Rhinolophus ferrumequinum: one gene and its partner. The protein of the gene in region 1 interacts with the protein of each later gene in a biochemical or structural test. Links are inferred from orthologs where the notes say so. Each region holds a gene or a part of one and is shown on either strand. Other genes may lie near its edges.

Region 1 (7,271 bases):
GGCTTACACCATCTACCGGCCCGACGAGGGCTACTGCCAGGCCCAGGCCCCGGTGGCCGCCGTACTGCTCATGCACATGCCTGCTGAGGTCAGCACCCCGGGGCCCGGGCTGGGGGTTGCGGGGGGGACCGGGGGGACGCCTGGTGCTGGCGGGGGGCATCCTCTGCCCGATTCTCAGGCCCCATCATCCCTCCCACTCTCGCCCTTCTCAGCAAGCCTTTTGGTGCCTGGTGCAGATCTGCGACAAGTACCTCCCTGGTTACTACAGTGCAGGGCTGGTGAGTGTGGGGCGGCTTGGCGCTGGGGCTGTGACTGTCCCCAAGCACAGGGAGGCCCTTGTCCCCCCCCCGCCCCTGTCCCTCTGCACAGGGCTCTCCCACTGAGGTGAGGATCCCCTGCTCGATCGGTCGGACCCCACGGGGGCCACGGCGGGCCTCTCCTCACGGCTCGTCCACCTCCAGGAGGCCATCCAGCTGGATGGTGAAATTTTCTTCGCGCTGCTACGCCGGGCGTCCCCGCTGGCTCACCGGCACCTGCGGCGACAGCGTATCGACCCCGTGCTCTACATGACCGAGTGGTTCATGTGCATCTTCGCCCGCACGCTGCCCTGGGCCTCTGTGCTGCGCGTCTGGGACATGTTCTTCTGCGAAGGTGCGAGCCTGTCAGGCCAGGGGGGCCGGGCTCCCACTGACCCAAGGTGCTTGGTGGGCCTGGTCTCGGCTCTGCGGCCAACCCGGAGCCTGTTCTCCCTGCCAGGAACCTGAAGCCCCTGGCGGCTCATTTCCCTGCTGGGCCTTAGTTCCCTCACCCCTAAGGTTGGCGGGGTGGGGCGGAGTGCCTCCTAACCGAAGGCTGGGACCCAGGCCCCATCTCCCCACTGTCTCCTCGGCCACAGGCGTCAAGATCATCTTCCGGGTGGCCCTGGTGCTGCTGCGGCACACGCTGGGCTCCCTGGAGAAGCTGCGCGCCTGCCAGGGCATGTACGAGACCATGGAGCAGCTGCGCAGCCTGCCCCCGCAGTGCATGCAGGAGGACTTCCTGGTGCATGAGGTAAGCCCTGGCCGTGACTCAGCCTCGCCTGCTGCAGGCCAGCCGCACCGTCATTGCATCTGGCACCCACTTCTCCATCCAGGTGACGAACCTGCCAGTGACAGAAGCACTGATTGAGAGAGAGAACACCGCCCAGCTCAAGAAGTGGCTGGAAACCCGGGGGCAGCTGCAGTACCGGCCCTCCCGGCGACTGCACGGTTCCCGGGCCATCCATGAGGAGCGCCGGCGACAGCAGCCCCCCCTGGGCCCCTCCTCCAGCCTCCTCAGCCTCCCTGGCCTCAAGAGCCGAGGCTCCCGGGCAGCTGGGGGGGTGCCCTCTCCGCCCCCTCCCGCCCGCAGGGCCAGTGTTGGGCCTGCCCCGGGGCCTGTGATCACCGCTGAGGGACTGCATCCATCTCTTCCTTCTCCGACTGGCAACAGCACGCCACTGGGTCCCAGCAAGGAGACCCGGAGGCAGGAGAAGGAGCGGCAGAAACAGGAGAAGGAGCGTGAGAAGGAGCGGCAGAAACAAGAGAAGGAGCGGGAAAAGCAGGAAAAGGAGCGGCAGAAGTGGGAAAAAGAGCAGGAGAAGGAGCGGCAGAAGCAGGAGAAGGAGAAGCAGAAGAAGGGCCAAGGCAGGAAGCTTTCCCTGCGTCGAAAGGCCGACGGGCCCCCAGACCCACAGGATGGTGGCGACCGGGCCTCCTCATCTGAGGCCCGCCAGGACACTTACTTCTGACCTCTGCCCCGGGGCTGGACTGCATGGCCCCCCTTTTTCCCTCAGCCAAGAGCAGGCCCCTGGGCAGACTGTCCTTTTCTGGGGAAGGTGGCTTGTTCCCCGTCCCCTTGCCAGCTGCTGATCCTACAGCCAGGACAGTCAGAACATGGGGCATGGGACAGCTCCGTTCCCTGGGGCAGCCGTGACACATCTGGGGCCCCGCACCTCCAGTTAGGCCCAGCCGGGGTCTTTGTCACTCCTGCCCCGGTTCCCTGTGGGGTCCCTTCCCAGGTACTGTCCTGATTGGCCTTCTGTCACCACAGGGGTGACTCCTGGCGATGGGAGCCAGCAGTTTTCAGATTCTTACACTCCACTTGCTCCCCTCATTCATGAAGCGGAGCCGAGTTCCTCTTTCCCCTTCTTCAGTCCTGCTTGTCTCCACTTCCTGGCCGGGGCCCAAGGCCCTCCTTGTTCAACGTGGACATCTCGGGGTTGTAATGACGAACAGAGGACCCGGTCAGCCCAGGGTGGGGTGTCCGCTCTGTCTTCCGTCCTTCGGTTCTTCCGCAATGTTCTTGTACTCCCGATTTATTTAATGGGACATGCACTGGAATAGGAAATGTCCCGCAGTCCTGGCTCTTCTTCCTGTTCCTCCTCCTTCCTCTGTATTCTCAGGCTTCCCCTGCTTTGTCTCACCAGGGCCCACACCTTTCACCTTGTTCCCTTCCAACCTTCCAGCCCCTCTCTGGGAAAGGGGTCTTCCCTTAAGCTCCCGGGGGTGGAACCCAATGTTTACATTCTCTTCTGTCTCTGCCCCCACCCGACGCAGCGCTTTGAGAAACCAGAAAAGATCCTGCTGTTGTACCTGGGCCTGTCTCCTGCCTTGTTATTTGACGAAGGCGTTAGAGTAAGAACTAGGGATACAGGAAGCGGCTTTTGAGCCAGAATCGATTGAAGCAGTCAGCTGGTCGTGGCCGTTGGTACCCCTCGGCCTTTGGTCCACTTCACCCATCAACAGTTGTTGAGCTCCTGCTCCAGCTTTTCTGGGATCTGCTGCCTCCATTGTCAGTGGCCTGAAGCCCTCTACGTATCACCTGCAGCACCCAGATGTCCTTCCCAAACTGCTCATGCAACTCCTGGGAGCTGAGGGGGGGGACAGAAGGGGGCTAGAAAGCCACAGCCCTCGGGGTGAGCTGGGCAGTCTTGGCCCACTGCCTGGCACAGCTCCCAGTACTTGGCCTCCAGGGAGCAGCCAGCTGCCTCCAGCCAGTGTCCACGGCCAGGCTCCCAGCTCCTCGTTGTCTGCTGCCAGCTTGTAGGCCTGCCCCCCTTCTGCACCGTCTACCCCAGGGGTCAGGTTGGTAAAGGCCTAGGGGTCTGTAGCTCCACCGGGCAGTTCAACGGAATGAGGCCCAGGGGTGTACTTCGTGCTCCTGGTACAAGTGTCCCCAGAGGATGTACCAGTGGCACTGGGAGCTGGTATTTCAGACCCTTTAGGGAGATGCCCTCTCAGTCTGGAGTGTGTGTTCTGGACCCACCCATGGAAGAAACTGCGGTTTCATGGGAGTCCAATCTGGGAGGAAACACCGGGGGCAGGAGACCGGAGGGCTGGTTCGTCGTTTCCTGGGGACCGATGGTTCCAGTAGGCTCTTCCTGGGCACAGCCTTAGCCTAGTGGGATTCAGACTCCCAGTGTCCTCAAGAGCTAGAGGGCGTGTCCCCACAGCACTGGGACCCACTGCTCCCACATCCCCACCACAGTTCTGCCTGTCGGCAGGGGCCTAAGGCAGGGGCTTTGAGAGGCGCTGCTGCACTTTTCCAGGCCTACTTGACATCCGGGCACGCGGGGCTTCTGACCCATGTACTGGGCATAGGTGCCACTGCCACCTCTCCGGTTAGGGCTCTTCCCACCTCAGAAACGAGGGGATGGTGGGAGGGGGGCGGGGAGTGATGGTAAATGGCCCCCCTTGGGTCCTGAAGGGAGTTGGGTTCGGAAAGCGCCCCACGGGCGGTCGGGGGCCTCCAGGCGGGCCATCAGGAGAGCCGGGCTTCCCCTCAGGGAGAAGCGCAAAGCTGCACCTTGAACCAGGAGAACGCAGACAGCTGGACGCTGAGGGGGCAGGCCAGGTTTCCACTGAGATGGTGAGGGGCGCAGAGCCTTGGCCAGCCCTGGGGAAGATGGCGCAACCCTGGGAAGGGAAATCAGAGCGGGAACCCACTGGCCCTGCTCGGATCTTGCCGTCCGCCACACCCCGGGCGCCCGATTAGATAGAATTCGCTCCACTTTCTCCCCAGCGCTTCTAGGGCTGTGAGCCACCGCTCCACTTCCGGCCACCCTCGCGTCCCATCCTGAGCCATCCCTCCACTTCCGGCCACCCCTCGCGTCCCATCAGGGTGTAGGCATTCTCCAGTGCCCTCTGCTCGTCGTTCCGTCCCACGCAGCTCGAGTCACTCCTCGGGGGGAGTGTGCCTTCCCCGGCTCCTCGGACTTCCGCCCACCCGCTCTCGCCAGACTGAAGCCACTTCCGGCCCTCCTGGCGCCTTCCGCAGTTCTCTTCCGGGTGATGGCGGCCCGGTGCCCCGGATGCAGCCCTAGCGGAAGCTTCGCTCCTTGCCTTCCCCCACCTTCCCGGGGTCCCTAGGTGAGCGCGCGCCGGTGGCACTGCTGGGGTCCCTGGGGCTCTGGCGCCTCTCATTTGTACACAGAGCCCGGCACAGTCGGGGGTCACCCCGCGGAATTGGGAGTTCGTCGCGGGGAGAAGCGGGGCGGCCAGGACGCCAGATCCCGGGTCCGCCCGAGCCTCACGAGCTCCGAGGGAACTGGCGGTGGGGGAGCAGCGGGTGTTAAGCCGGGGAGCGGCGTCGCGCCCGGGATGCCAGGGCTGGGGATGGGGGTGGTCACGTGGGGGAACTGCTCGGGGCTCCCGCCTCTCCGGCTCGGCTGCAGCCAGTCTGTCGGATGCCAGACCAGGTTCCGGGGCCTCTTGCCTGTCAACGCCCCTTTCGGCCCCTATTTCTGTACCAGGGGAAACAAACGTTTGCTGCGCTGGGGCCCTCTCGCGGCGAACCTCCTCCTCGCCCGGTTCCCTTACTCTGCGTCCTTTCTCTCAGCTCAGCTCGAGGCAGGTCCCTCGGTCCAGCCATGCCAAAGAGGAAGGTGACCTTTCAAGGCGTGGGAAATGAGGATGAGGAGGATGACATCAGTGTACCCAAGAAGAAGGTGAGGGGGCCAGACTCCTGCGTCGTAGGGAGGAGTGAGGGGGAGAGAAAAGAAACGAGGAGCCCGAAGAGGGAAAAAGCGTGGGATACAAAAAGGGCAGAAAGGAAAGGACTAGCTTCGCCGTCTTCTCTGAGAAATGGGTTTGGGAGATTGTCAGTTTGAGTCCAGATCCTAGAGCATTTTGAGGACTAAGCCGGTAGGTAACCTGCCTCTCTCGACCGGCTGGCTCCTGCTCACAGCTCGTGGACCCTGTGGCCGGGGCAGGAGGGCCTGGGAGCCGCTTCAAAGGCAAACACTCTTTGGACAGCGATGAGGAGGACGACGAGGAGGAGGGGTCCAGCAAATATGACATCCTGGCCTCGGAGGACGTGGAAGGTGAGGTCTACGGAAGCATTGATTCTGCTGCGGGAACGAACCGGCTTCTGGGACGTGGGCCAGGGCTCCTTCTGTCACCGTCGCATGCTTAGTGTGAAATGCCTGTGTTGGGTGCAGGTCAGGAAGCGGCCACACTCCCCAGTGAGGGAGGTGTGCGGATCACACCTTTCAATCTCCAGGAAGAGATGGAAGAAGGCCATTTTGATGCGGACGGCAACTACTTCTTGAACCGAGAAGCTCAGATCCGAGACAGCTGGCTGGACAACATTGACTGGGTATGGCTCGGGGGCTGGCGGGGCCGGGCCGGAGGCGGCAGGTGCTTGGGCTCTGCGGGCAGTTTGTCAGAAATAATCTCCGTGTTCTCTCTCACGGTACAGGTGAAGATCAAGGAGCGGCCACCTGACCAGCATCCACCATCGGACTCCGACGAGGAGGATAACTTGGGCCAGACACCCATGAGCGCCCAGGCACTCCTGGAGGGCCTCCTGGAGCTGCTGCTGCCCAGAGAGACAGTGGCTGGGGCCCTGAGGCGTCTGGGGGCCAGAGGAGGAGCCAAAGGGGGCAGTAAGGGGCCCGGACGGCCCTCTTCCCCCCAGCGCTTGGACAGGCTCTCGGGGTTGGCTGACCAGATGGTGGCTCGGGGCAACCTTGGTGTCTATCAGGAGACAAGGGAACGGCTGGCCATGCGTCTGAAGGGGTTGGGGTGCCAGACCCAAGGACCCCCTGACTCCATCTCCCCACCTTCTCTGGACATGTTTGCTGAAGAAGTGGCAGAGGAGGAGCTGGTGACCCTGTCCCCTGCCCAGAGAGGTGAGCTTGAAGGGCAGAGGCGGGGTCTTGTGGGCAGGGGCATGGCGCTGGAGGCCCACACGGCTTTGCCTGTGATTGTAGAAGCAGAGTCGCTCGGAGACGGGCTGGAGGACGTGATGTGGGAGTATAAGTGGGAGAACACGGGGGATGCTGAGCTGTACGGGCCCTTCACCAGCACCCAGATGCAGGTAAACCCCTTTTCGCCTCCTTTCTGCCCTCGCACCCATCAGTCCTCCACCAGCTCTGCCCTCTCTCCCCGCAGACCTGGGTGAACGAAGGTTACTTCCCGGATGGTGTGTATTGCCGGAAGCTGGACCCCCCTGGTGGACAGTTCTACAACTCCAAGCGTATTGACTTTGATCTGTATACCTGAGCCTGCCGAGGGCCCAGTTTGGGGGCCCCTTCTTTCATGGACTCTGGAGGAGGCCCCAGCTGCCTCAGGCAATGAGGATATCGGGGGCCTCTTTTCAGTCAGTTTTCTTTCCCAATAAAAGCCTGTAGTTGTGTATTAAGGCCTCGGCTGTGCTGATGGCCGGAAGCCAGGGATCCCCTACAGCCCCTTTGGACTTGTTTCAGCCCTTGACTGTTTCCTCATGAAGTTCTTCTGTGGGAGTTTCTGGTCCCTTGAACCATCTCACCGTTGACCAATCCTAGAGGCAGAGCCAGGATGTCAGGTGTCCTGTGGCCTCCCCACCTGGCCTCTGCTTACCACCTAAAAATCCCTTCACGCACATACTATTCTCCGGTACCCTCTGGGGGTTCCTGTTGCTGTTCTGAGGTCTTTGGCTTTTAGGATCTCAGTTAGCATGTCCTGGCAGCCACTACAGAACGGAACTCCAGAAGGGGCGTTTTAGGCCTCGAAGGGCTGGGACAGCAGTTGGGCGTGAGCAGGAAGCCTAGTACTCACTGGCTCCCACTGTCTCAGGCTCCTTAAGTGACATGCAGGCTCAGTGTTAGCACAAGGTCACCTGATCCTGCCACCCATCGACTAGGCACAGAGTAGGGCAGCATGTCATTGGAGGGGCACACAGTGAGTCAGAGGCCAGTAGGCTCGCTTCCCAGACGTTTTTTGGTACTAGGTCTTTTCTGTCTGGCTTTTGAGGCCGTGAAGCTTCCAGGA
Region 2 (7,804 bases), on another chromosome or scaffold:
GCAGCAGCTAGGACATGTTTCCGAAGGAAGCTATGGGTGGATGGGGTGAGGAGTGGGGGTCTCTGGCATCGTCCCCTCTGCCATGGGCTCAGGATGGCCCTTACTGGGGTCCCACACCAGAGTCCCGCCACCCACCCTACACTCAGGCCTCCAGCCCCGCCCCCCTCCCCGGCCTCTACGGCACTCCTGGCTCCTCCCACTGACCTTGGCTGAGCAGCTGCAGGCTCCGCCCCTCTTCGCGCACCTGCAGGCGCAGCACCTGCTGCAGTACCTCCTGCCGCTGCGCCTCCTGCGCCAGCCCCATGCGCTGCAGCTTCTCTGCGTTCAGCCGCAACAGCGCCCGGCCTGGGGGCAGGGAGAGGGGCGGGGCCGAAGTCAACTTCCGGTGGGCAATCGGAGCCAAGGCGGGGGGGGGGGGGGGGAGGAGGGGGCCGGGACTCAGAAACAGAGAGGGAGACTGAGGAAATGTGGGGAGGGACACGGAGACACATAGATGCAGAAAGACGGGGTGGGGGGGCGGGAGGGGGATGGGGGGAAGGGGAGGAAGAAAGAGAGGAAATGGGCAGGGAGACAGACACACAGATGCGGAGAGAAAGGCAGGGAGAGGCAGAGGAAAGCCAGATGAAGACACAGAGAGGCTGGGAAACACAGTGGCAGGTTCCGCAGAGACAAAGACCGGAGGAGAGGCTGACTCAGGAGGAAACAGGAGAGGGTAGGAAGAGGAGAAAGGACAGGCTCGCCTGGGATCCCCGTGCCCCCAGCCCCATAGCCCCCAGCCCCACAGCACCGGTGATGGCGTGCTGGGAGAAGGCCTCCACGTAGACGAGGTAGTTGTGGGGACAGTGCTTCTTGAGCCACTTGCAGACGTCCTGCTGACTCCACAGGACCACAGGCCTCGTCAGGCCACCCAGTGAGGGACTCGTGTGGTACAGGCCACAGTGGTCAGAGTACAGCCAGCCCTGTGAGGGAGAGGGGTAGCAGATAGAATGAGGTGGTGGGGATGGCCGGGGCTGAGATGGGTACGGTGGCTGGGTACCTGGGGGGTCTCTGTGCCAGGCTGCTGCAGGAGCTTGACTGGCCGGCCACCTGCTGCCCTCTGACTGCGTGAGTCATGCCATGTGAGGCTGGTGCCTGGTGTCCTAGGCAGGTGGCAGGGGATGCTCTCGGTGGACACCGTGTGCTCCAGGAGGGTCCGGCAGAAGCTGAAGTGGGCAGTGGCTGCAGAGGAGGGGTGCCTGGTCAGAGTGGTCAGGGGCCCAGCCAGAGGCTCCCCTCGTCACTCAGCCCATCTCCCCTCCACTGAAGAAGGAGCCACTTTCCCAAAGGCAGAAGGAAGCATCGAGAGCTGTCTTGAGGGCCCCACCCAGCCCAAAGCTGAAGAACTGGAACACCTGTACCCTCCAAGTCCACAGTACATGTTCTGGGGAGCCAAATGGATTCTTAGAGAGAGCGGACGCCCACCGGGAAGCCTAAGACTTACAGCCAGGGGTAGGGCTCTTCTGGGACAGCCCTCACCTCATGCTTGCCTTGGGCTGGCACATGCCACACCTAACGAGGGTGCACACACAGGCCCTTCCTACGAGGAAACATTGGACCGGTGTCCTGGGAGGCCCGTGAGGACCGGTGTCCTGGGAGGTATGGTGAGGAGACCCCCTGGGTGCACTGCGGGCCCATCGCCACGGATTGTGCCATCTCTGCAGACATCCCTGCCACGTGAGGTTTGGCCCTGCCCAGCTGTGCTCACTGGTTGTGACTCATGGACAAGAAGCCTAAACTCTGGGCAAGCCAGGACCTGGGATTCCTGCTCCCCCACCTCCCACAGGGTCGCCAACCCAGGGTGACTGCTGTGCATGGTGGGTCTGCAGCCGCCATGGGCCGCTCAGCACAGGCCCATAGGCTGCAGCCATGTGCTCAGGGACCCCTAGTGACACCTGGAGCTCTCTTCCCGTACCAACTTCATTACACTCGTCAACACTTTGGTTTTATCATCATTTCTGGGCTGGCTGCTGACCTGAGTGGGGGAGGAGCAGTCGCCTGTTCACTGCCCCTCCCAAGACCTTGCACAGGTCCTGGTGCAAAGGAGGTGCCCAGAAGTGTTGTGATGAATGAACGGATGGACGAAGGTTCTGTGTGATGTGCATCTTTACAGCATCCAGGTCCTCACTCAGCAGGGAGACCTTCCTTCCCACGGACACAGCCCCCCACCCCTCGGGCAGGATTTGGCCCTGTGCCTAGGTCTCAGTAATGGGGGAAACCCACATCTTGCTCCCCTCCTTCCACCCCATTCCTGCAACTTTCCACTACCAAATAACCACAGGTGCCTGTAAATTTGAGGTCTAGGGTCAGACTGAGAGTGTGGACGATGCCTCGAGGTGGCTTCTAGTACCGTGGGAAAAGAATTAAAGCCGAGACCTTTCAGGGGACAGGCCCTGGGTCGCATCGCCTTGCCTCGCCTCGCCAGGGCCCGGCCTGGGTAAACCAGTCGGACACCTCCGTGGGCGTCTCACCTGTCCCGGGTCAACGGGACCCGCCCATTTCCTGCCCGCGCTGGGGGGAGGGATCTCTGTGGGTACATCCGTCCTTCCCTCCCTCCCTCCCAGCCCCAACGTCATAATTCCCGTAGAAAATGGGGTGGGGGCGCACGATCCCGGCTGTGGCCCCAGCCCCTTCTTCGCTCCAACGCAAAGGCTGGGAGGGTTTTCTCCGCGCGCGGAAAAAAAAGGTGACCGCACGGTAGTGCGGGCCTGGGGACAGAAGCCCCGGCCGGTGACCTCCCCCAAGCCAAGGGTGCGCTGATCCCCAAGGCCTAAGGCCGCCCCACCTCGCCCCCAGCGCAGCACAAAGACACAAGAGACCCCAGATCCGTCAGGACGCGCCCCCCTCTCTGTCCACTGCCGCCGCTCAAGTCCGCCAGGTCCCGCCCCCGTCCCTCTCGGTTCCCAAGCCCCCAGCCCACGATATCCCTGCGCCCGGATTCAGCCCGGCTCACCGTCCACATCCCGGCGCTCCCCGAAGCCGGCGCGCACAGCCCCGGCGCGGCCTCGCGGGGGGCTCAGCTTGGTCCTCAGCTCCGTGAACATGGGGCCCGCGGGGCCCGGGCCCGTGCACACGCCCCTCGCCGGGCGCAGGGCGGCCCGAGTGGCCGGCGGGGAACGCGCGCCACCGCCCCGCCCCAGCCGGCCCCGCGCCGGAGCCGGTCCCCGCGCCCGGCGAGTCTGCGCGGCGAGGCACCTGCCGCTGAGCCCTGAGAGCTGGGCGCGCTCCGGGAGCTCCGAGGTGTGTCGGCGGCGCGCGGGTCTGCGTATGCAGAGTGTCTGCCAGGGCAAGGGGCGTCCCTGCGCACCTGGGCATGGCTCCAAGGACGAGTGACTGGGCACCTTTAGGGGTCCAGGCGTCTGCAGGGCCCTCTGAAGCAGGGAAGTAAGGACACATTCCGCGTGTGTGTGTGTGTGTGTGTGTGTGTGTGTGGTGGAGGGCCTCCTACCCATCCTGGGACCTTCTGCCCCCTGGGGCCCAGGTCAAGGATTAGACCCATCCCTTCAAACCACTTCCCTCCATTTTTCTACCTTAGTTTTCTCCTTTAATTCACATTCTCCAGACCTCTCCAGAGGTCTCTCCCTCAAATGGGCACTTGCTTCCCCAGAGAAGTCAGTTTGACTCTCTCTTATCTCATCACACTGAACTCTAGGAGGACAGCCAGCGTCTCTCCCTTTCCTTCTGTAGCCCCAGAATCGGATTCAGTGCCCAAGATGTGGCTCTGAAAGGGGCTTGGCTGGGGACAGGGAGGAGCAACCCCAAGGAGGCTGCAGCAGGCAGGAGGGATGTGTTTGCTGCAGGACGCCAGTGAGAAGAGCTAGGGTGGGCTGGGGCTGTCTGGGCCAGCACAAGGCCAGACTTGGGACCTGAGTTTTGCCTGCTCTGCCAGGAGCCTGAGTGCTCTCCCAGGTATGTGTGGGGGCCAGAGGATGTCCCATAGCGGAGTGTGCTAAGGTGCACGTGGCCACCCAGAAATGTATGCAGAGTACAGTCAGGCATGCCCATGACACCCACAAGTAGAGATTGGCATGGAATTCACCCAAATTCTGTGATCGCCCACGCCCATATACTGACTCTCCCGACATATACCCGCCGCATTTATTTATTTCCATTAATTAGCTCAACAGGTGGGCTCTTGCCCTCACTTGAACCTTCAGGGTATTATGGGACTGTGAGTGGGGACCTGTGCTGGAATTGGAGCTCAGGAATCCGAGTCCTGAGAGCCAAGGCAGCAAGCAGTCTGTACACAGGAGCACACACAAACAGGTGTGCTCACAGTCGTGACACATACACTCCGCACAAGCTCTACACAACTGGATAGCTGTGCAGCACCCCTCAGATGTGTTATGGCCTGCCCCGGGGCCAGGGCGACTCTGAAGGGCAGGGTGGGTAGCTAGGGCTCAATCCTAGGGCTCCCTGGCAGCTGGGCTGGCTCAGAGAGGGAGGGGACCCACGGGTCCTACTGGTACAGGCAGGTCTCCTTGGAATGCATCGAGAACACGCAGTAAGCAAGGGTGCCCAGGCTCAGTTTCCAGGTCCCTGGAGGTTTGTCCAGAAAGGCGTCGCCCCTGGACCTCCGGCGGGGCTGTCCGCCGGCCCTCCTCGCCACAAGGGGGCGCTCTCGCTCACGCACCTGCCGCATCTCCGTCCCTCAGCCGCGGCCGGAAGTCGCCCAGCCGCGTTTCCGGAACTTCCGCCCGTGGAATCCGAGGCGGCCGGAGCTTCGTGCCGACCTGGCGCTCTGCTTCCGGGGCGCGGGTGACGCGGGGCGCGCGACCTCTTCCTGCAGTGAAACCTCGGACGTCTGTGGTGTTTTGCCTCCCGCCGCGGTCTCCGTCCTTTCCCTTCCCGGCCCTTGTCGTCACCTGCGCCATGAACAAGAAGAAGAAGCCGTTCCTGGGCATGCCCGCGCCGCTCGGCTACGTGCCGGGGCTGGGCCGAGGGTGAGCCCCGGGGCGCGCGGCGCGGCCCTGGGCCCCGGGGCCCGGGTCCCGGCGGGCGCGCCCTTGGGGAAGGGGCACAGGGCCGGTCTGTCCTAACCCCCCACGGCGACGGGGAGACGAGAAGGGACAAAGGCGGGTTGCTTGCTTTAAGCTTTGTAGGAAGAATCGTTCTTGGGGTTAGGACAGACCCGAGCGAGTCCCGCCAGTTACCTAGGAGCGGGGTGACTGCGTTTAGCTACGCCTTGGCTCTGAGCCCCTTTTGGTGTCTAAGATGGGTGACAACACCGTTTCGCAGATCTGCCGTGAGCAGCAGCTCAGTTCCTGACGTGTCTACCGTGGGAACGCGGCGGCTCCTCTCCGCGGGCCCGGCAGACGCGCACCCACCCCCAGCCCCGCCTTACGCAGTTCCCGGGAACCCCGGCGCGATTCCTCTGTGGCCGCTCATCGCGCCACATTCTTTCCCTGTAGAGTCGTTGGTCACATACTGTTTGTTCAAACTCTCAGCTCCCGGGAGCAGGGATGGCATCTTTGAGGCTTGTGACAGAGTCCTCCCTGCCTGTCACACAGACTGCGACCGTAAATTGTTGAGTAAATGAGCAGTCATTTTCATCCTGTTTGGTTAGTCATCTGATTAGGAAGACTACTGGGTTTCTCTTGTCGAGGATGGTACCGTATGTTAGAATCTGTGGAGGACACAGAAGTGTCAGATAGTGGCACCATCTTCAGGGGACCTGCACTCTGCTAGGCGAGGTGAGGTATATGCATAAGTAAGTACATAAAGAGGAACAGATTTAGGATTGGGGTTCCAGTGATCAGGGAATGCTCGATGCAGTGCTAGCATTTAAGCTAAGTTTAGAAGGCAAGATGCATTTAGGGATGTAGACATGTAGCAGGTTATAGGAGAAACCGATGTTTTGTGTGTCGCGCAGTTAGGAAAAAAGATGAGGCATGGAGGGAGATGAGGGGATAGCAGGGAGTCCATGGGGCTGGGATGTGCAGGGAGCAGAGCTCCTGTGGGCATTGCAGAGGTGGTCCCTCAGGCCTGCGCTCCAGCAGAGGGAGACTCGGTACAGGGAGGCCAGCTTGGTTCCGAGGCCTGGGACCAGGGATTTGGAGGAAGACAGTACAGCTCCGTGGCAGGTGGGAGGGAGAGGGAGGCAAGCCAGGTGTCTGCCTAGGTGCCCTGGGCAGCACTGCCGTCGTCTGTGGAGACAGCCCCAAGCAGCTGCAGGGCAGGCACAGAAGAGGAGCTCTGACTGGGTCAGGTTGGGTGTGAGGGCCTGCTTGGATGGGGAAGCTGTTGGAAATGGGAAACTGGGACTTTGGGGGAGGGCTGATGCCCTGACAAGTCTCAAGGAGAATATGGGGACAAGATGGCCTTAGTGATCCCTTGGGGGGGGCAGGAGGTTTCCTGTTTGAAGAGAGCAGACTGGGAGTGTTTGAGAGCATGGCCACGCGTATCTCACTCCACCAGGACCTTTGGAGATTTCCCAGAGGTGTTAAGTGACAGCAGTGGAGGGAAGAACACAGGAACAGGGTCACCCAGATCAAGGAGTATCTTGGGGTCTCTTGCAGCGCCACTGGCTTCACCACCCGGTCAGACATTGGGCCCGCCCGGGATGCCAATGATCCCGTGGATGACCGCCATGCACCTCCAGGCAAGAGGACCGTAGGGGACCAGATGAAGAAAAGCCAGGCTGCAGACGACGACGACGAGGATCTGAACGACACCAACTATGACGAGGTGACCTGTGCTGGGCTCCCCGGCCAGCCTGCAGAAGGCCGGCCAGCTTCTTAACACGGTGGCATCTGTGATGAGTGGCTTGGCCTGGCTGGCCCATTTCCTGTTTCAGCTCAGGAAATGTCTCCCTGAGACACCTTCAGGGTGTCTCCCTAGCAGAGTGTGAGAGGGGAGTAGGAAGAGTACAAAGAAACGTACACTTTTGTTTTCTCTTCAGAAGACGTTTACTGAGAACCACTGCATTGGCATTTTATCCTGGCCAATGAAAATTTAAATGGAATTGGTGATAATGTTTGCTTTCCTTTGCTTTAGTGCTTACTCTCTTAGTTAATTGGTGTTTGGTCAATTGAAGTTTTCTTCAGATATGTTCTAACAGATGGCATTTTTCTCAGAGGAAAAGATTTGAATACTTTACTTCTGAAATAATTTTAAATTTACAGGGAATTTGCAAAAATAACATGGAGAATTTCTGCATACCCTTCACAAGTTTCTCCCCATCTTACATGGCCTTAATACAATTACTGAAACAGGAAATTAACACAGCACTCTTAATTAGTCTAGTGTATTGTTTGAACCCCACTGGTTTTTCCATCTGTAGCCTCCGTCAGGCCCCAGGCCTACCACCGGCTTCCATTGTGCATGTAGTTGTGTTTCCTTGGGCTCCTCCAGTCGGGATAGTTCCTCCTGACACTTTTGAAGAGTACTGGTCAGTTATTTTGTTACTCCTCGGTTTGGGTTTATCTGATTGAAAAATATTGTTTAGCAAGCATTTTGCAACTGGTAGTGTTCTCTGTTTCTCCTGGTGGGGATTAAGTTGGAAGAGAAGCTGATCCTCCAAATATGTTGTTTGGTTCTTAGTTTAACGGCTATGCTGGGAGCCTCTTCTCAAGTGGGCCCTACGAAAAAGACGACGAGGAAGCAGATGCTATTTATGCAGCTCTGGACAAAAGGATGGATGAAAGAAGAAAAGAAAGAAGGTAAAACTAGTTACTGCCCTTCACTATCTCTGTCCGACTCTGAACAAAAGTGTTGTTTGACTTATGTGAGACTTGGAGAAAAGTTGCAAGAACAGTGCGTGTGTCTG

Evidence for each region. The genes of interacting proteins can lie anywhere in the genome.
Region 2: the proteins of CD2BP2 (region 1) and PRPF6 form a complex in vitro, tested with the Homo sapiens proteins (2 studies listed by BioGRID and IntAct). The link is inferred for Rhinolophus ferrumequinum from reciprocal best matches to the Homo sapiens genes CD2BP2 and PRPF6.

What each region holds. Positions count from the first base shown.
Region 1 is NW_022680357.1:764,012-771,282, forward strand, and holds the start of CD2BP2 (CD2 antigen cytoplasmic tail-binding protein 2), read left to right. Parts: upstream 1-4,230; 5' UTR 4,231-4,388; intron 4,389-4,548; exon of another isoform or gene 4,549-4,572; intron 4,573-4,857; 5' UTR 4,858-4,888; coding exon 4,889-4,966; intron 4,967-5,205; coding exon 5,206-5,341; intron 5,342-5,458; coding exon 5,459-5,616; intron 5,617-5,718; coding exon 5,719-6,151; intron 6,152-6,232; coding exon 6,233-6,339; intron 6,340-6,413; coding exon 6,414-6,524; 3' UTR 6,525-7,271. Other genes in the region: TBC1D10B (TBC1 domain family member 10B), read left to right, coding at 1-88, 213-278, 462-651, 896-1,050, 1,133-1,768. UniProt on the Homo sapiens protein: Involved in pre-mRNA splicing as component of the U5 snRNP complex that is involved in spliceosome assembly.
Region 2 is NC_046306.1:202,933-210,736, reverse strand, and holds the start of PRPF6 (pre-mRNA-processing factor 6), read left to right. Parts: upstream 1-4,717; 5' UTR 4,718-4,908; coding exon 4,909-4,979; intron 4,980-6,554; coding exon 6,555-6,723; intron 6,724-7,578; coding exon 7,579-7,697; intron 7,698-7,804. Other genes in the region: SAMD10 (sterile alpha motif domain-containing protein 10), read right to left, coding at 8-30, 205-345, 788-959, 1,037-1,218, 2,990-3,488. UniProt on the Homo sapiens protein: Involved in pre-mRNA splicing as component of the U4/U6-U5 tri-snRNP complex, one of the building blocks of the spliceosome.